Stegostoma tigrinum: one gene and its partner. The protein of the gene in region 2 purifies or fractionates together with the protein of the main gene of each other region. This does not show direct contact. Links are inferred from orthologs where the notes say so. Each region holds a gene or a part of one and is shown on either strand. Other genes may lie near its edges.

Region 1 (7,423 bases), on a different chromosome or scaffold from region 2:
ACCTCAGGGCTTGGAGTCCATGCTGGGCTTCACTTTGAGTCTGGTTGTCCACGCTGGGCTTCACCTCAAGGCTGGGAGTCTGTGCTGGGCTTCATCTTGAGGCTGGGTGTCTATGCTGGGCTCCACCTCGAGGCCGGGAGTCCGTGCTGGGCTTCACCTCGAGACTGGGAGTCCGGGCTGGGCTTCACCTCGAGGCTGGGAGTCCGTGCTGGGCTTCACCTTGAGGCTGGGAGCCTACGCTGGGCTTCATCTTGAGACTGGGAATCTGTGCTGGGCTTCACTTTGAGGCTGGGAGTCTGCGCTGGGTTTCACCTCGAGGTTGGGAGCCCACGCTGAGCTTCACTTCAGGGCTGGGAGTCCGTGCTGGGCTTCACCTCAGGGCTGGGAGTCCGCGCTGGGCTTCACCTCGGGGCTGGGAGTCTGCGCTGGGCTTCACCTCGGGGCTGGGAGTCCGTGCTGGGCTTCACTTCGGGGCTGGGAGTCTTCATTGGGCTACACCTCGAGGCGAGAAGTCCACGCTGGGCTTCACCTTGAGGCTGGGAGTCCGCGCTGAGCTTCATTCCAGGGCTGGGAATCTGTGCTGGGCTTCATCTTGAGGCTGGGAGTCCGTGCTGGGCTTCATCTCGAGGCTGGGAGTCCGTGCTGGGCTTAATGTCGAGACTGGGCTGGCTAGAAAGGGGAAAACAAAATGAGGAACTCTAGGTCAGGAGCCCTACAGATCCGCCACCCTGGAAGGAAGATTGGTATTACTGCATACAATTCTGGTCATCCTGGTATGGGGAAGGATATTATTAAATTGGTAATGTGTGAAAAAGATTTATAAGGATATACTGAGACTGGAAGGTTTGAGTTTAAGGGAGGCTGCATAGGCTGGGAGTTTCTCCCTTGAAGCATAGGAGACTGAGGGGTGACCTTATTGATGTTTATAGCGTTATGAGGGGTATGGATAAGGTGAATAGCCAAGGTCTTTTTTTCCCCAGGTTAGGAGAGTTTAAAACTAGAGGACATAGGTATAAGGTGAGAAGGGTAAGATTTTACAAGTGGCCTGAGGGCAACGTTTACACACGGAGGGTGGTGTATATATAGAATGAACTGCCAGAGGATGTGGCAGAGGCTGGTACAATTACAACATTTAAAAGATATTTGGACAGACATGAATAGGAAAAGTATAGAGGGATACGGGCCAAATGGCACTAGTTCTGTCTGGGAAATGTGTCAATTAATGTCGTGTCTGGGCTGGCTAGAAAGGGGAAAACAAAATGAAAGGCAATCAAAGAAACAAAGAAACCTACAGCACAGGAGCAGGCCCTTCGGCCCTCCAAGCCTGCTCCGATCAAGATCCTCTGTCTAACCTGTCATCTATTTTCTAACGGTCTGTGTCCATTTGCTCCCTGCTCATCCATGTACCTGTCCAAATATACCTTAAAAGACACTAACGTGTCTGCGTCTACCACCTCCGCTGGGAACGCGTTCCAGGCACCCACCACCCTCTGTGTAAAGAACTTTCCACGTATATCTCCCTTAAACTTTCCTCCTCTCACTTTGAACTCATGACCCCTAGTAATTGAATCCCCCACTCTGGGACAAAGCTTCTTGCTATCCACCCTGTCTATACCCTTCATGATTTTGTCGACCAATGGAAGTCAATGGCCTAGAGGTATTATTGCTGAACTGCTAATTCAGAGACACATTATGTTCTGGGGGGCTGGGTTTGAATCCTGACACAGCAGATTGTGGAATTTGAATTCAATAAATATCTAGAATAAAGAACCTAATCGTGACTGTGAACACATTGTTGATTGTCAGGAAAACCCCATTTGGTTCACTAATGCCCTTTAGAACATAGAACATAGAACAGAGAACAATACAGCACAGAACAGGCCCTTCGTCCCTCGATGTTGCGCCGACCTGTGAACTAATCTAAGCCCATCCCCCTACACTATCCCATCATCATCCATCTGCTTATCCAAGGACTGTTTAAATGCCCCTAATGTGGCTGAGTTAACTACATTGGCAGGCAGGGCGTTCCACACCCTTACCACTCTCTGAGTAAAGAACCTGCCTCTGACATCTGTCTTAAATCTATCACCCCTCAATTTGTAGCTATGCCCCCTTGTACAAGCTGATGTCATCATCCTCGGAAAAAGGCTCTCACTGTCCACCCTACCTAATCCTCTGATTATCTTGTATGTCTCTATTAAATCCCCTCTTAGCCTCCTTCACTCCAATGAGAACAGACCCAAGTCCCTCAGCCTTTCTTCATAAGGCATTCGCTCCAGACCAGGCAACATCCTCGTAAATCTTCTCTGCACCTTTTCCAATGCTTCCACATCCTTCCTGTAAAGGGGCGACCAGCACTGCATGCAATATTCCAAATGAGGCCGCACTAGCGTTTTGTACAGTTGCAGCATGACATCTTGGCTCCGGAACTCAATCCCTCTACCAATTCTAGTAGTCCATAACTCAGTCGTCTCCCTCTACCGTAAACCTTCTTAACAGCACTATCAACCCGGGTGGCAACTTTCATGGATCTATGTACATGGATACCAAGATCCCTCTGCACATCCACACAACCAAGAATCTTTCCACTGACCCAGTATTCTGCCTTCCTTTTATTCTTCCCAAAGTGAATCACCTCACATTTATCCACATTGAACTCCATTTTCCACCTTTCAGCCCAATTCTGCAGTTTATCCGAGTCTCCCTGCGACCTGCAACATTCTTCCACACTGTCCACCACTCCACTGACTTTAGTGTCATCTGCAAACTTACTAACCCATCCACTTATGCCTGCGTCCAAGTCATTTATAAAAATGACAAGCAGCAGTGGTCCCACAACAGATCCTTAAGGCATACCACTAGTAACCTGACTCTAGGCTGAATATTTTCCATCAACCACCACTCGTTGCCTTCTTACAGAAAGCCAGTTTCTAATCCAAACTGCTAAATCTCCTCAGTCCCGTGCCTCTGTATTTTCTCCATTAGCCTACCATGTAGAACCTTATCAAAGGCTTTACTGAAGTCCATGTACACCACGTCAACTGCCCTACCCTCATCCACATGCTTGGTCACCTTCTCAAAAAACTCAGTGAGGTTTGTGAGACACGACCTGCCCTTGACGAATCCATGCTGACTATCTCCAATCAAATTGTTGCTTGCTAGATGATTATGAATCCTATCTCTTATAATCCTTTCCAAAACTTTTCCTACAACAGACGTAAGGCTCACAGGTCTTTAATTACCTGGGTCATCTCTACTGCCCTTCTTGAACATGGGCACAACATTTGCAATCCTCCAGTCCTCTGGTACTAAACCTGTAGACAATGAGGACTCAAGGATCAAGGCCAAAGGCTCCGCCACCTCCTCCCTGGCTTCCCAGAGAATCCTTAGAAAAATACCCTCCAGCCCAGGGGATTTATCTACCTTCACACCTTCTCGAATTGATAACACCTCCTCCTTACTAACCTCAATCCTTTCAATTCTAGTAGTCCATAACTCAGTCGTCTCCTCTACAATATTCTCCTGTTCCTCAGTGAAAACAGATGAGAAATAATCATTTAGCACCTCTCCGATCTCCACAGGGTTCACACACAACTTCCCACTTCGGCCTTTAACTGGCCCTATTCCTACCATAGTCATCCTCTTACTCCTCACATACCTATAGAAAGCTTTAGGGTTCTCCTTTATTCTACCTGCCGATGTCTGCTCATGTCCCCTCCTTGCTCTTCTTAACTCTCTCTTTAAATTCTTCCAAGCTAATCTGTAACTCTCCATCGCCACATCTGAACCATCTCGTCTCATCGTCACATAAGCCTCCCTCTTCTGCTTAACAAGAGATACAATTTCTTTAGTAGTCAATTTCCTTAGGGATGATAACTACCATCCTTACCTGGTCTGGCCTATTTGTGACTCAAAACCCACAGCAATGTCGTTGACTCTTGACTGCCCTCTGGGCAAATAGGAATGGGCCTAGCCAGTCACGCCCTCATCCTGTGAATGTATAAAGGGGGAAAATGTTGGGCTGAAGGGTCTCTTTCTGGGCTGTATGACTCCAAATTCTGTATGATTCCAGTTTCAGCTGATGTTGTAAAGCAGGGACTGTCTCAGATATTTTCTAATCAGCCTGCTCAGAGATGTTATTGCACACCTGAGCAGTAGGTGGGACTGGAACTCAGGCCTCCTGCCTCAGAGGCAGGGACACCACCGCTGCGCATTTAGAATTGCAGTGGGGTCCTGTTTAAAAAGTGGGTCGTGGGCCCTTTAAGATGATTTCACGGAAACTGCGCGGGCGCAGCGCCGGGCCCGGGCGCGCATGCGCTTCTCTTCCAATGGCGGATCCCGGCGGCGATTTGTTCGACAGCATCGTTCTGGCGGAGGATCGGTAATAAACTCCCTAAACAGCCCCCCACCCCACAAAAAAAAATCACCCCGCCTCAAAAATACCCCAAATAATACCCTGTCCCTGAATGTACCGTCATGAACAGCCACCCCCCGGTCTGGTGGTGTATCAGTAATAAACACGCCCCTCAGTATACCCCCTGAATAAACACCTCCCCCCAGACATTCCTGTAAACGTACCCCCGAATAATAGCCCCCACCCACACAGACAGCATCGCCCTGGTGATTGAATGGTAACTGCTACCCCCTCTGCACCCAATAACCTCCTTTTGTGCTCCTGAGATGCTGCTTGGCCTGCTGTGTTCATCCAGCCTCACATTTTATTATCTTGGAATCTCCAGCATCTGCAGTTCCCATTATCTCTGATACTATTTTAACCTCCCACCACCCCCTCTTTTGCTGGCCACCCCAAATTCTTTTCTAAGGTTGATTGCATCTCTCCTTGTTGAATTTTTCGTGTGGTTGGCAGATTTCGTGGGGAAGGTTATCAGGAAGGGTTTACAGAAGGAAGTCATTTGGGAGAAACTGAGGGACGACGCTATGGCTCGGCAAATGGTGCTAAGATTGGATCAGAGGTAAGCTGTGAGTACAGTTGTACAGCAGTCATAGGGTTTAGCATGTTAAAGCAGTCTGTATTGTACACAGTTAAACATGAGGGAATACATTGTTGCGTAGGAGCTTGCTGTGAAAATTCATTCTAAAAATTCTGGAATGCAATAATGATTATGTTTCAAAAGTACTTAACTGGGTGTAAAGTGCTTTTGGTATGCCCTGAAAGATGCTAGATAAATACAGTTCCCATCAAGACCTCCCTTCCAGAAGGACCTGACTCGTACTGAGATGTTATTACACAGTCTTCGAGTGCCTCCTGTTCGTCTCTCAAGAACACATTTTACATGAGTAATCCTGGAAAGTGGGGTTCTATTGAAAATGCAGAATTGTGAAACAGTGACATAAATGAGTAAAGACGGTTCTCCATAATGCATTTGTTGATCATTGTTTTCAGTTCTTTGCTTTGAATATTTTTGTAATATATCCCAAACTTGGCCCTGTTTGTTGCCATCGTAGCAAATGTTTGGAATTGAATTTTTATATAACTATTAACTGACTCTCTTCCTTAAAACATATTATAGTGAGTGGTTTTTGGCGGTGTTCTACACATCTGTTTGATTTGCATCACTAATTCTCAAGTGAAGCCAAAATCTTGGAGGGAGTTCAAGAAATTGCTTTGGCACATGGAATCAACCATGACCTAGCTGAATAGCGAAAATGGCTCAAATGGGTTGACAGATCTACTCTTGTTCCTTTTGAGGTCACTTGTTGTGGTGTTATTACTTCCAGCACAAATCTAAATTTCATATCTGGATCAGCTGGAAAACTACCAGACACAAATCTAAAAGTGTAAATGCTCTTTGACTTTCAAGGATCTGCAACTTTTATTTAGAAAACTTAAAACAAGATACTTCAGAATCTGGAATAACTGGAGAAACCCAGCAGGTCTGGCAGTGTCTGTGGAGAAAGAAACTGAGTTAACATTTGATACGTTAAGTTTGATATGACTGTTCACAATATTTCCTTTGGGACAGATCTTAACATTTGTACTGGACTTGAAACGCTGACTCGGTTTCTCTTTCTACAAATGCTGACATGCTGAGTTGCAGCAGCGCTTTGTTTTCATTTGTATTTATAAAACACCTTTAAAATAGTGAGTCTGAAGACACTTTGCAGGGGCATTATTTAATATTGAGCCTCATAAGGAGATATTAAGGCAACTGACAAAAAGTTTGGTCAAAGAGATATGTTTCAAGGAGTGGTTTAAAAGAGTTTTCTGAGGGAACTCCAGCACTTAGGACCTTAAGGCTAAGATCCTAGTGCAGTTTAATTAAAATCAAAATGCTGGAGTGGCCAGAAGTGGCAAAGCACCAATATGGTAGACAACTGTGGGCCTTGAGGAAATTTTAAGATGGGTTTGAGGGTGGGGGAAGGTGATGCAAGGCTCTGAAACAAAAACTATGATTTTTAAAATGGGTTTGTAATGTAAGTCAGTGAGGACATGGTAATGAATGAAAATGATTCTATGTATGTTAGGAGTAGGGCAGCAGAGTTTTGGGTGACCTTCAGTTTATGGAGGATAGAATATTGAGTGCTAGCCAGGATGTGGTGCAACAGTCTTGAAATAACACTGGAAGTGATGAGGCTTTCATCAGCAGATGAGCAGAGACAGGGCAGAGTTAGACAGTGTCACAATAATGGAACTATGCATTCTCAAGTAATGTTGTAGACAGAGTCATATGTCCCACCAAGGTTGTAAATGATCTGGTTTGGCCTCGGACAGTTGTCAGGGAGAAGGGTAGAGGTGGTGGAAAGGTAGTGTTTCATTATTATTCGTTTCAGAGGAATTGTTTCAGTGACGTTGACTAATAATAGATTATAATCTGAGGTTGACATTTTTGGGAAATTTGACCTGGTAGGTGCGGGAAAGTTTGTTTCCCCTTGCGAGAGAGTTTAGGACTGGGGCAGAATCTCAGAACAAGGGGTTGCCAATTAGGACAGATGAGGAATATCTTGTCTCAGAGGATAGTGAATGTGTGGAATTCTTTACCATAGAGGACTGCAAGGCTGCATTATTAAGTATATTCCAGGCTGAGGCAGATTTTTAATCAGTGAAGGAACCAAGGACCATGGGAAAAGGGTTGGAAAGTGGAGTTGAGGATTATCAGATTAACCATGATCTCATTGAATGTTTGAATGGCCGGTCTCTAATCCCATGTGTTATAGGTTTATTTACTGATAAAGAATACTCAAGTCATTGTAAAACTTGTATAATTTTGGATCTGTACAGGAGCAATGTATTCAGAATAGTGTATTGTGTTACAGGATACCTCTTCAAACAGGTTGTCAACTCATGAGAGAGCTTGCTGTGTACATGTTGGCTGCCTAGTTTCATACATTTCAACATGACTGCATCTCAGAATTAACTTGTTGGCTTTAAAGTACTTTGGGATGGCCTGTCCTTGGGAAAAAT
Region 2 (7,764 bases):
TTATGAGCTGCCTGCACTGCACACAAAGCAAAACTTCTCACTGTACTTAGGTACATGTAACAATATCTCAAATATTGTCACTTTTCTTTGTGACTTATGTATCATTACATCTAGATCGACTCGCTGACAACTCACATTTTAATCACATTATCTTCTAATAACTAGATTTTTGCCACTCTCCAATTATTTGTCCGCAAATTCTAAGGTTTCTTCACAATATTCTTTCCTATCAATTGTTGTGTGACTTTAGTTACCATACCTTTCACTCCTTTCACCTAATTTATTGATCTAAGTTGTGAAAGCTGCCGCCTTAGCAGAGTCTCTTGCAGAACCCTCCCACTCATCACATCCTACCAAAGACCCTCTATATGATCTTCTGTCAGCCTTTTCTCTCTGCTAATATGTTACCAGATACATTATGGGCTTTTATTTTGTGCAGTGATCCTTGGAAACCCACGTCTATTACACAAATAAGCTCTCCCTCATCCACGATGTATGCTATTCCTACAATTAACTCCAATAAATTGGCTAAACATGATTCTCTTTTGATGAAACCATGATAAATCTTCCTGATTACCTCTGGTTTCTTTTGGAAGTGTGGAGCTGCAATCTCTAACAATTAACTTCCATATGCAAGCTATCAAGCTGACTATAAAAGATACCCTTTTTCTGCCCGCCCTCCCCTTTTTTGACAAGGTTATACTTGTAACTTTCTAGTCCATTGGAATCCTTCCTGAAACCCTGGAATTTTGGAAAATTAACAAACGGACATATCCAGCCAATTAGCCACACATTTTAAGACCCAAGGACAAAGTTCGTCTTGGCCCAGATTGGAAGTGGTCAAAAGTGAGTTTAAGCGGTAATAATTTGGTTTAGGATAATTATGGCCTTGGGAAAAATAATACTCAGCAAGTACTAGTGAAAATAAGAATAGCAGAGAAGCTTTCGGAAGAAATGATCAAGTAGATTGGGCCCCAGGCACAGCCAAAACAGAACAGGGAAATAAGAATAAAGCTCAGTGAAGAGGTCAGAGAAAGAATTCCTGCCTTTAAGATGTAAACTACAAGAATCATGGGAAATCCTATATCTATTGCTTCTTAATTAGTAAACATTGAATTAAATACTGCCTTTTTCTAAAAAAAATCTCTGTTGCAACTATTCTCTGCACAATGATGGCTGACAGGTGACTTGGTGGGAAATTGCCATTTGGTGTTATGGATCAGACCAAACACCCTCAAATTATTTTAGGGTAGTCTAGACCCTGAGTTTTCTTTTAATTTTAAAAGCAAATCTAAGTGTCTGTTCCAGATAAAATGAGACTGGTCAATCTACTCAATGTGAAGGAAAACAATTTAAACACTGTCACTAAAATACAACCAAAGAACTTAGAATAATTTAATTCTATTGGAAGACTTAATAGTAATATATAGTAACTATTACTAATTAACTGTTCCAACATAGTAACATTCTACAAACACTCCCCTTGGCAAAAAAAAAGGAAAATTCAGACAAATTCTCACATGCAGTTCTCCCATCCAGGAGAAAGAAACATCAAGAGAAAATTCAGAAAGTTGCAGCGAGGTAGTCACTGAAGCATCCAACTCTGTTGACACCCCAATAGCTTCTGATGCTACAGACAAAATCAAAACCCAGAAAAGTGGATCAGAGAGCTGGCCATACCAATCAGGCTATTTTAAAGCAAAACATCAAAGGCCTGCCAAGCTGTTTACTCAAGCGGTCTCCAGTAGCCAGCTCAATACTTCTGCTGTATAATCTCTCCAAAAAAATGGACAAAATAACCACTTAAAGTGACAGCACTATCATATTAGGCTTTTGTTAACCAAATGTTTTATTGGTCTGAAAGGTATAAATTGAACTCCAGTTTAATTAATACCATTTACATTATGATTGCCATTTCACCGAGGTCCTCTTACTTTCATGATCAGATTTCAAACTATCACTATCACTTGGCAGATCAAAATCCTAGCGGTTCCTTTCTAATAACACTGAACATAAATCTACACAGTTTGTGTGGTGTAAGTAAGTAAGTCAGCAGTTCCGACTATCTCGAGAGAAGTTAGTAATGAGTAATAAAACCTGGCCTTGTCAGTGACACCTCTAAAATATTTAAGAAAAAACCCAAAACACATGCCCATTAAACTGAAGAATATTTAATAAGTATTGCATAACTAAGTCATTTTTCAGATTAATGCGACAAGATCAATATTAGACTCAAACGCAGACAAACCCACAAACTGTGATATAAAAAAATGTTTCCTTAGGGAGGTGAAGAAATGCTTCAAACCTCTGCCTCTCAATAAACGTGATAGGTTTTCAGCCTTATTTTCTACAAACAAAACTAATTTTAACTAATCTCAACAAGGTAAGACACAACTCAATGAAGAAAACAACAATTTTAGGTTTTGAGACGTTCATCACAGTGTATTTCAGAGTAGTGCATTTAGTACGGCAAAAGTTCGCAGCTTAACAGAATTTTTACCAGAATGCTATTTATAGTTCAATTTTTTGACAAATGAAAGACAATGATAAAGCCACAACCCCTCTCAAACTTGCGCGTGATATATACGTTTCAAACTTGAACACCTACAGCATTTAATTGATTCATTGCATGATGGAGTAATATAATTCAAACGGCTACACTTCTTCAGAATTTGATTAGCGTGAAAAACCAACTGTTTTAACAAATACGTCATCTTCTGCCCAACTCTCCTCGCCTTAACGTTAAGATTTAAGGCCTGTAACAGCACTGCCATCTCCAGCGAATGCTGTGCTTATTGCCCAAAAATTATTAACAGGTAGACTCGTTTGCGGCCTATGTAAGGCAATGAGCCCGAGGCCTGCATGATGTCCACGTTCTTGCTCACTGCCTCCCTCTCACAAACTCTTACCCCACCCCTGCCCTGAGTCACATGGAAATCTTCCTTGCACCGAATACACTCCTCTGATCACTCCTTTACCTGAGCGGACGCTGTGAAGGTGCAAGTAGCAGCCACTGCCCAAGCCAACGCCTCATAAGTATTATCTCTTGTCTGTCTGATGTGACAAATCCTCTCAAGTTTTAGCTTCACACTACAAACGTGCTCCTCAGGAGTGAAAAAAAGCCGGTGAAGATGGCCCCCTACAGGCATGCGCAATGCCCACATTCAATGGCGCCTGACGCCAGCGCGTTGACGGTTGACGTGTTCCGGTGGCGCCGGTGGAGGGGAGTTGGAATGTTGAGGAAGCCGGACCGTAATAGAGCTTGTTTGAAGTTCATCTTTGCCGGTTCAATAAGGTAAGTGAAACTACTTCGTATGGGGTTACTGAGACTATACCTCGAAGTGAACCGTATTGAGGGGACAGTGAAGTTCGGATTGTGAACGATATCACCCCCCCCCGGAAAAATAAGCACCTGTCAAAATGCTGCCACGCTCCTGGTCATTAACACTGATCGCTGAATCCATCCAGTGTGGAAGCAGACCATTTGGCCTATCGACTCCACACCAACTCTCCGAAGAGCATCTCACCCAAACCCACTTCCGCCTCCTACCGTATTCCCTTGTAACCTTGCATATTGCCCAGGTCAATTCACCTAATCTGTACAATCCGGCACACAATGGCCAATCCACCTAAACTGCACATCTTTGGACTGTGGGAGGAAACCCATGCAGACACAGGGAGAATGTGTAAACTCCACACAGACATTCGCCCGAGCATGACGACTGAACGAACCACCGTGCCGCGGTAGCAGTGCCTGCGTTTACGATTATCTGTGGGAAGTTCGCCTCTATCTCCTCCGGTAACGAAGATTTGGAGTGGAATACAACAGTACAACATTGCACTTCGTGTTCATTCCTTCTGGACAGTGGCCCGGGATTAGGCAGGTCAACACTAAGGAGGTTCCGGCTTTTCTGACACCTGTTGTAGTGCATTTGTTAACTGCCTGAGCAGGCCAATGAGTAGCTTGTGGAGGTTTCGTATTGAACCTCAGTGATGATGCGCTGACCAAGTTTTTTCCAACGCGTTCTGTTTTTATACCAGTTTATTAGGCAGTTTGTTACTGGACTGCCAACGATGAGATGATGTGCTTTCTCTTGCTGCTAAGAATAATTTAAAACAGTTTGACCACAAAGAAAACACCTGATCTGTTGAACAAAAACAAAGTTGCTGGAAAAGCTCAGCAGGTCTGGCACATCTGTGAAGAAAAAAAAGTTAACGTTTCGGTTCGGGTGACCCCTTCATCAGAACTGAAATCCTAACGGGTAACACTACAGTTGTTATGGGAGATTTCAACATGCAGGTAGACTGGGAGAATCAGGATGGTACTGGACCCCAAGAAAGGGAGTTTGTGGAGTGCCTCTGAGATGGATTCTTAGAACAGCTTGTACTGGAACCTACCAGGGAGGAGGCAATTCTGGATCTGGTGTTGTGCAATGAACCGGATTTGATCAGGGACCTCAAAGTAAAGGAGCCATTATGAGGTAGTGACCATAATATGATAACTTTTAATCTGCAGTTTGAGAGGGAGAAGGGAGAATCGGAAGTGTCAGTATTGCAGTTGAATAAAGGGAACTGTGGAGCTATGAGGGGGGAGCTGGCCAAAGTTCAATGGTACAGTACCCCAGCAGGGATGGCAGTGGAACAACAATGGCAGGTATTTCTGGATATAATGCAGAAGGTGCAGGATCAGTTCATACCAAAGAGGAAGAAAGATCCTAAGGGGAGGCAGGGGCGGCTGTTGCTGACGAGGGAAGTTATGGACTGTATAAAGATAAAAAAGAAGTATAACATAGCAAAGATGAGTGGGAAGCTGGAGGACTGGGAAGCTTTTAAAGAGCAATGGCGGATAACTAAAAAGGCAATACACAGGAAAAAATGAGCTATGAAGGCAAACTGGCCAAAAATATAAAGGAGGATAGTAAAAGCTTTTTTAGGTATGTGAAAAGAAAAAAAAATGGTTAAGACTAAAATTGGGCCCTTGAAGTCAGAAATGGGTGAATTTATTATGGGGAACAAGGAAATGGCAGAAGAGTTGAATAGGTACTTTGGATCTGTCTTCACTAGGGAAGACACAAGCAATCTCCCAGACGCAATAGTGGCTGAAGGACCTAGGGTAATGGACGAACTGAAGGGTATTTATATTAGGCAGGAAATGTTGTTGGATAGACTGTTAGGACTGAAGGCCGATAAGTCCCCGGGACCTGATGGTCTTCATCCCAGGGTACTTAAGGAGGTGGCTCTAGAAATTGTGGATGCGTTGGTAATTATCTTCCAAGGTTCTGTAGATTCAGGATCAGTTCCTGCGGATTGGAGGGTGGCAAATGTTGTCCTACTTTTCAAGAAAGGAGGGAGAGAGAAAACAGGAAATTATAGACCGGTTATCCTGATGTCAGTGGTGGGAAAGATGAAATTACGACTCATTTGGATAGCAGTAACAGAATTGGTCAGAGTCAGCATGGATTTACGAAGGGGAAATTGTGCTTGACTAATCTTCTGGAATTTTTTGAGTATGTATCTATGAAGATGGATAAGGGAGAACCAGTGGATGTAGTGTACCTGGACTTTCAGAAAGCCTTTGATCAAGTCCCGCATAGGAGATTGGTGAACAAAATTAGGGCACATGGTATTGGGGGCAAAATACTGAGTTGGATTGAAAATTGGCTGGTTGGCAGAAAGCAAGGAGTAGTGATAAACGGGTCCCTTTCAGAATGGCAGGCAGTGACCAGTGGGGTACCACAAGGTTCGGTACTGGGACCGCAGCTGTTTACGATATATATTAATGATATAGACAAAGGCATTAAAAGTAATATTAGCAAATTTGCCAATGACACGACGTTGGGTGGCAGTGTGAAATGTGAGGAGGATGTTATGAGAATACAGGGTGACTTGGACAGGCTAGGTGAGTGGACGGATGCATGGAAGATGCAGTTTAATGTGGATAAATGTGCGGTTATACACTTTGGTGGCAAGAACAGGAAGGCAGATTACTATCTCAATGGAGTCAAGTTAGGTAAAGGGGAAGCACAACGAGATCTAGGTGTTCTTGTACATCAATCAATGAAAGCAAGCATGCAGGTACAGCAGGCAGTGAAGAAAGCTAATAGCATGCTGGCCTTCATAACAAGAGGAATTGAGTATAGGAGCAGAGAGGTCCTCCTGCAGCCTTACAGGGCCCTGGTGAGACCACACCTGGAGTATTGTGTGCAGTTTTGGTCTCCAAATTTGAGGAAGGACATTCTTGCTATTGAGGGAGTGCAGCGTAGGTTCACGAGGTCAATTCCTGGAATGGCAGAACTATCATATGTTGAAAGATTGGAGCGACTGGACTTGTATACACTTGTGTTTAGGAGGATGAGAGGGGATCTGATTGAGGCGTATAAGATTATTAAGGGATTGGACACTGTGGAGGTGGAGGCAGGAAGCATGTTTCTGCTGATGGGTGAGTCCAGAACCAGAGGACACAGTTTAAAAATAAGGGGTAGGCCATTTAGAACAGTATTGAGGAAAAACTTCTTCACCCAGAGAGTGGTGGATATATGGAATGCTCTGCCCCAGAAGGTAGTGGAGGCCAAGTCTCTGGATACTTTCAAGAAAGAGATAGATAGAGCTCTTAAAGATAGAGGAATCAAGGGTTATGGGGATAAGGCGGGAACAGGATACTGATTGTGGATGATCAGCCATGATCATAATGGATGGTGGTGCTGGCTCGAAGGGCCGAGTGGCCTACTCCAGCACCTATTGTCTATTGTCTAACCCTTCTGTAGTTCTGATGAAGGGTCACCGGATCCGAAACGTTAACTTTTTTTTTCTTCACAGATGCTGCCAGATCTGCTGAGCTTTTCCAGCAACTTTATTTTTGTTCCTGATTCACAGCATCCGCAGTTCTTTCGGTTTCTACCTGACCTATTGAAATTGAAATGCCTTGTTTAAAATAGATCTTCATTCATGGGATGTGGGAGTTGCTGAAAGGCAGCATTCATTGCCTGTCCCAAACTGTTTGACCATGCAATGAATGAGACATCTTGAACTACTCCATTTCATTTGGTCAAGTATATCCAGAATGTTCTTGTGAATTTCAGGATCACTTGTATATTTTGAAATATGATATGTGAGTTGGAGAATGTTGGAGGTGTTCTAGTCTGTGTATAGATGATGTCCTTCAAAACGGTGGAAGCTTATACTCTTGGAAACTGTTTTTCAAGGATTTCTGCATCTTGTAGACAATGATCAATGCAGCTATGATGTGCCAAGGTTGGTAGGTGTGAATGTTGAAGATGGTCGATGATGTGGCAGTCAAGTGGGCTATTTGTCTCATTTTCTGCCACTAGTCCACCCATTCTATCAGACTATTTCCTCTTGAAGTTTATCACTATCTTCTTTTCTGTTCAGAATGCTTCCAAATGAGTAATTGGCAAATTTTGCAATGGCACCTGTACTCTGAGCCATCAATTTATGTATTTCGAAAAACAGTGATCCTGACGTTGTAGGCAATTCCCACTGTATACCTTCTTCCAATCTGGAAAACAATTGTACAGGGTCAATTGTATGAGTACCACATTTCCTGTAATTCAGCCTTTTTTTAACCTCAACTATTGCTGTATCTTTCATACCATGAGCTCAAACTTAGAAACCAGTTTATATGACACTTTATGACTCTCTTGTGAAAGTCTATTGTACATCAACCATACTTCCCTTTCAACCCTCACTGTTACCTCATTTAAAAAAAACTCAACCAAACTATTTAAACACAATGTGCCCTTCATT

What was found.
Region 1: the proteins of abce1 (region 2) and lto1 purify together in Homo sapiens (affinity purification with mass spectrometry; 4 studies listed by BioGRID and IntAct, with this or other methods). This does not show direct contact. The link is inferred for Stegostoma tigrinum from reciprocal best matches to the Homo sapiens genes ABCE1 and LTO1.

What each region holds. Positions count from the first base shown.
Region 1 is NC_081370.1:61,764,091-61,771,513, reverse strand, and holds the start of lto1 (protein LTO1 homolog), read left to right. Parts: upstream 1-4,280; 5' UTR 4,281-4,328; coding exon 4,329-4,381; intron 4,382-4,867; coding exon 4,868-4,973; intron 4,974-7,423. UniProt on the Homo sapiens protein: The complex LTO1:YAE1 functions as a target specific adapter that probably recruits apo-ABCE1 to the cytosolic iron-sulfur protein assembly (CIA) complex machinery. May be required for biogenesis of the large ribosomal subunit and initiation of translation.
Region 2 is NC_081354.1:46,099,527-46,107,290, reverse strand, and holds the start of abce1 (ATP-binding cassette sub-family E member 1), read right to left. Parts: upstream 3,168-7,764; 5' UTR 2,979-3,167; intron 1-2,978. UniProt on the Homo sapiens protein: Nucleoside-triphosphatase (NTPase) involved in ribosome recycling by mediating ribosome disassembly. Able to hydrolyze ATP, GTP, UTP and CTP. Splits ribosomes into free 60S subunits and tRNA- and mRNA-bound 40S subunits.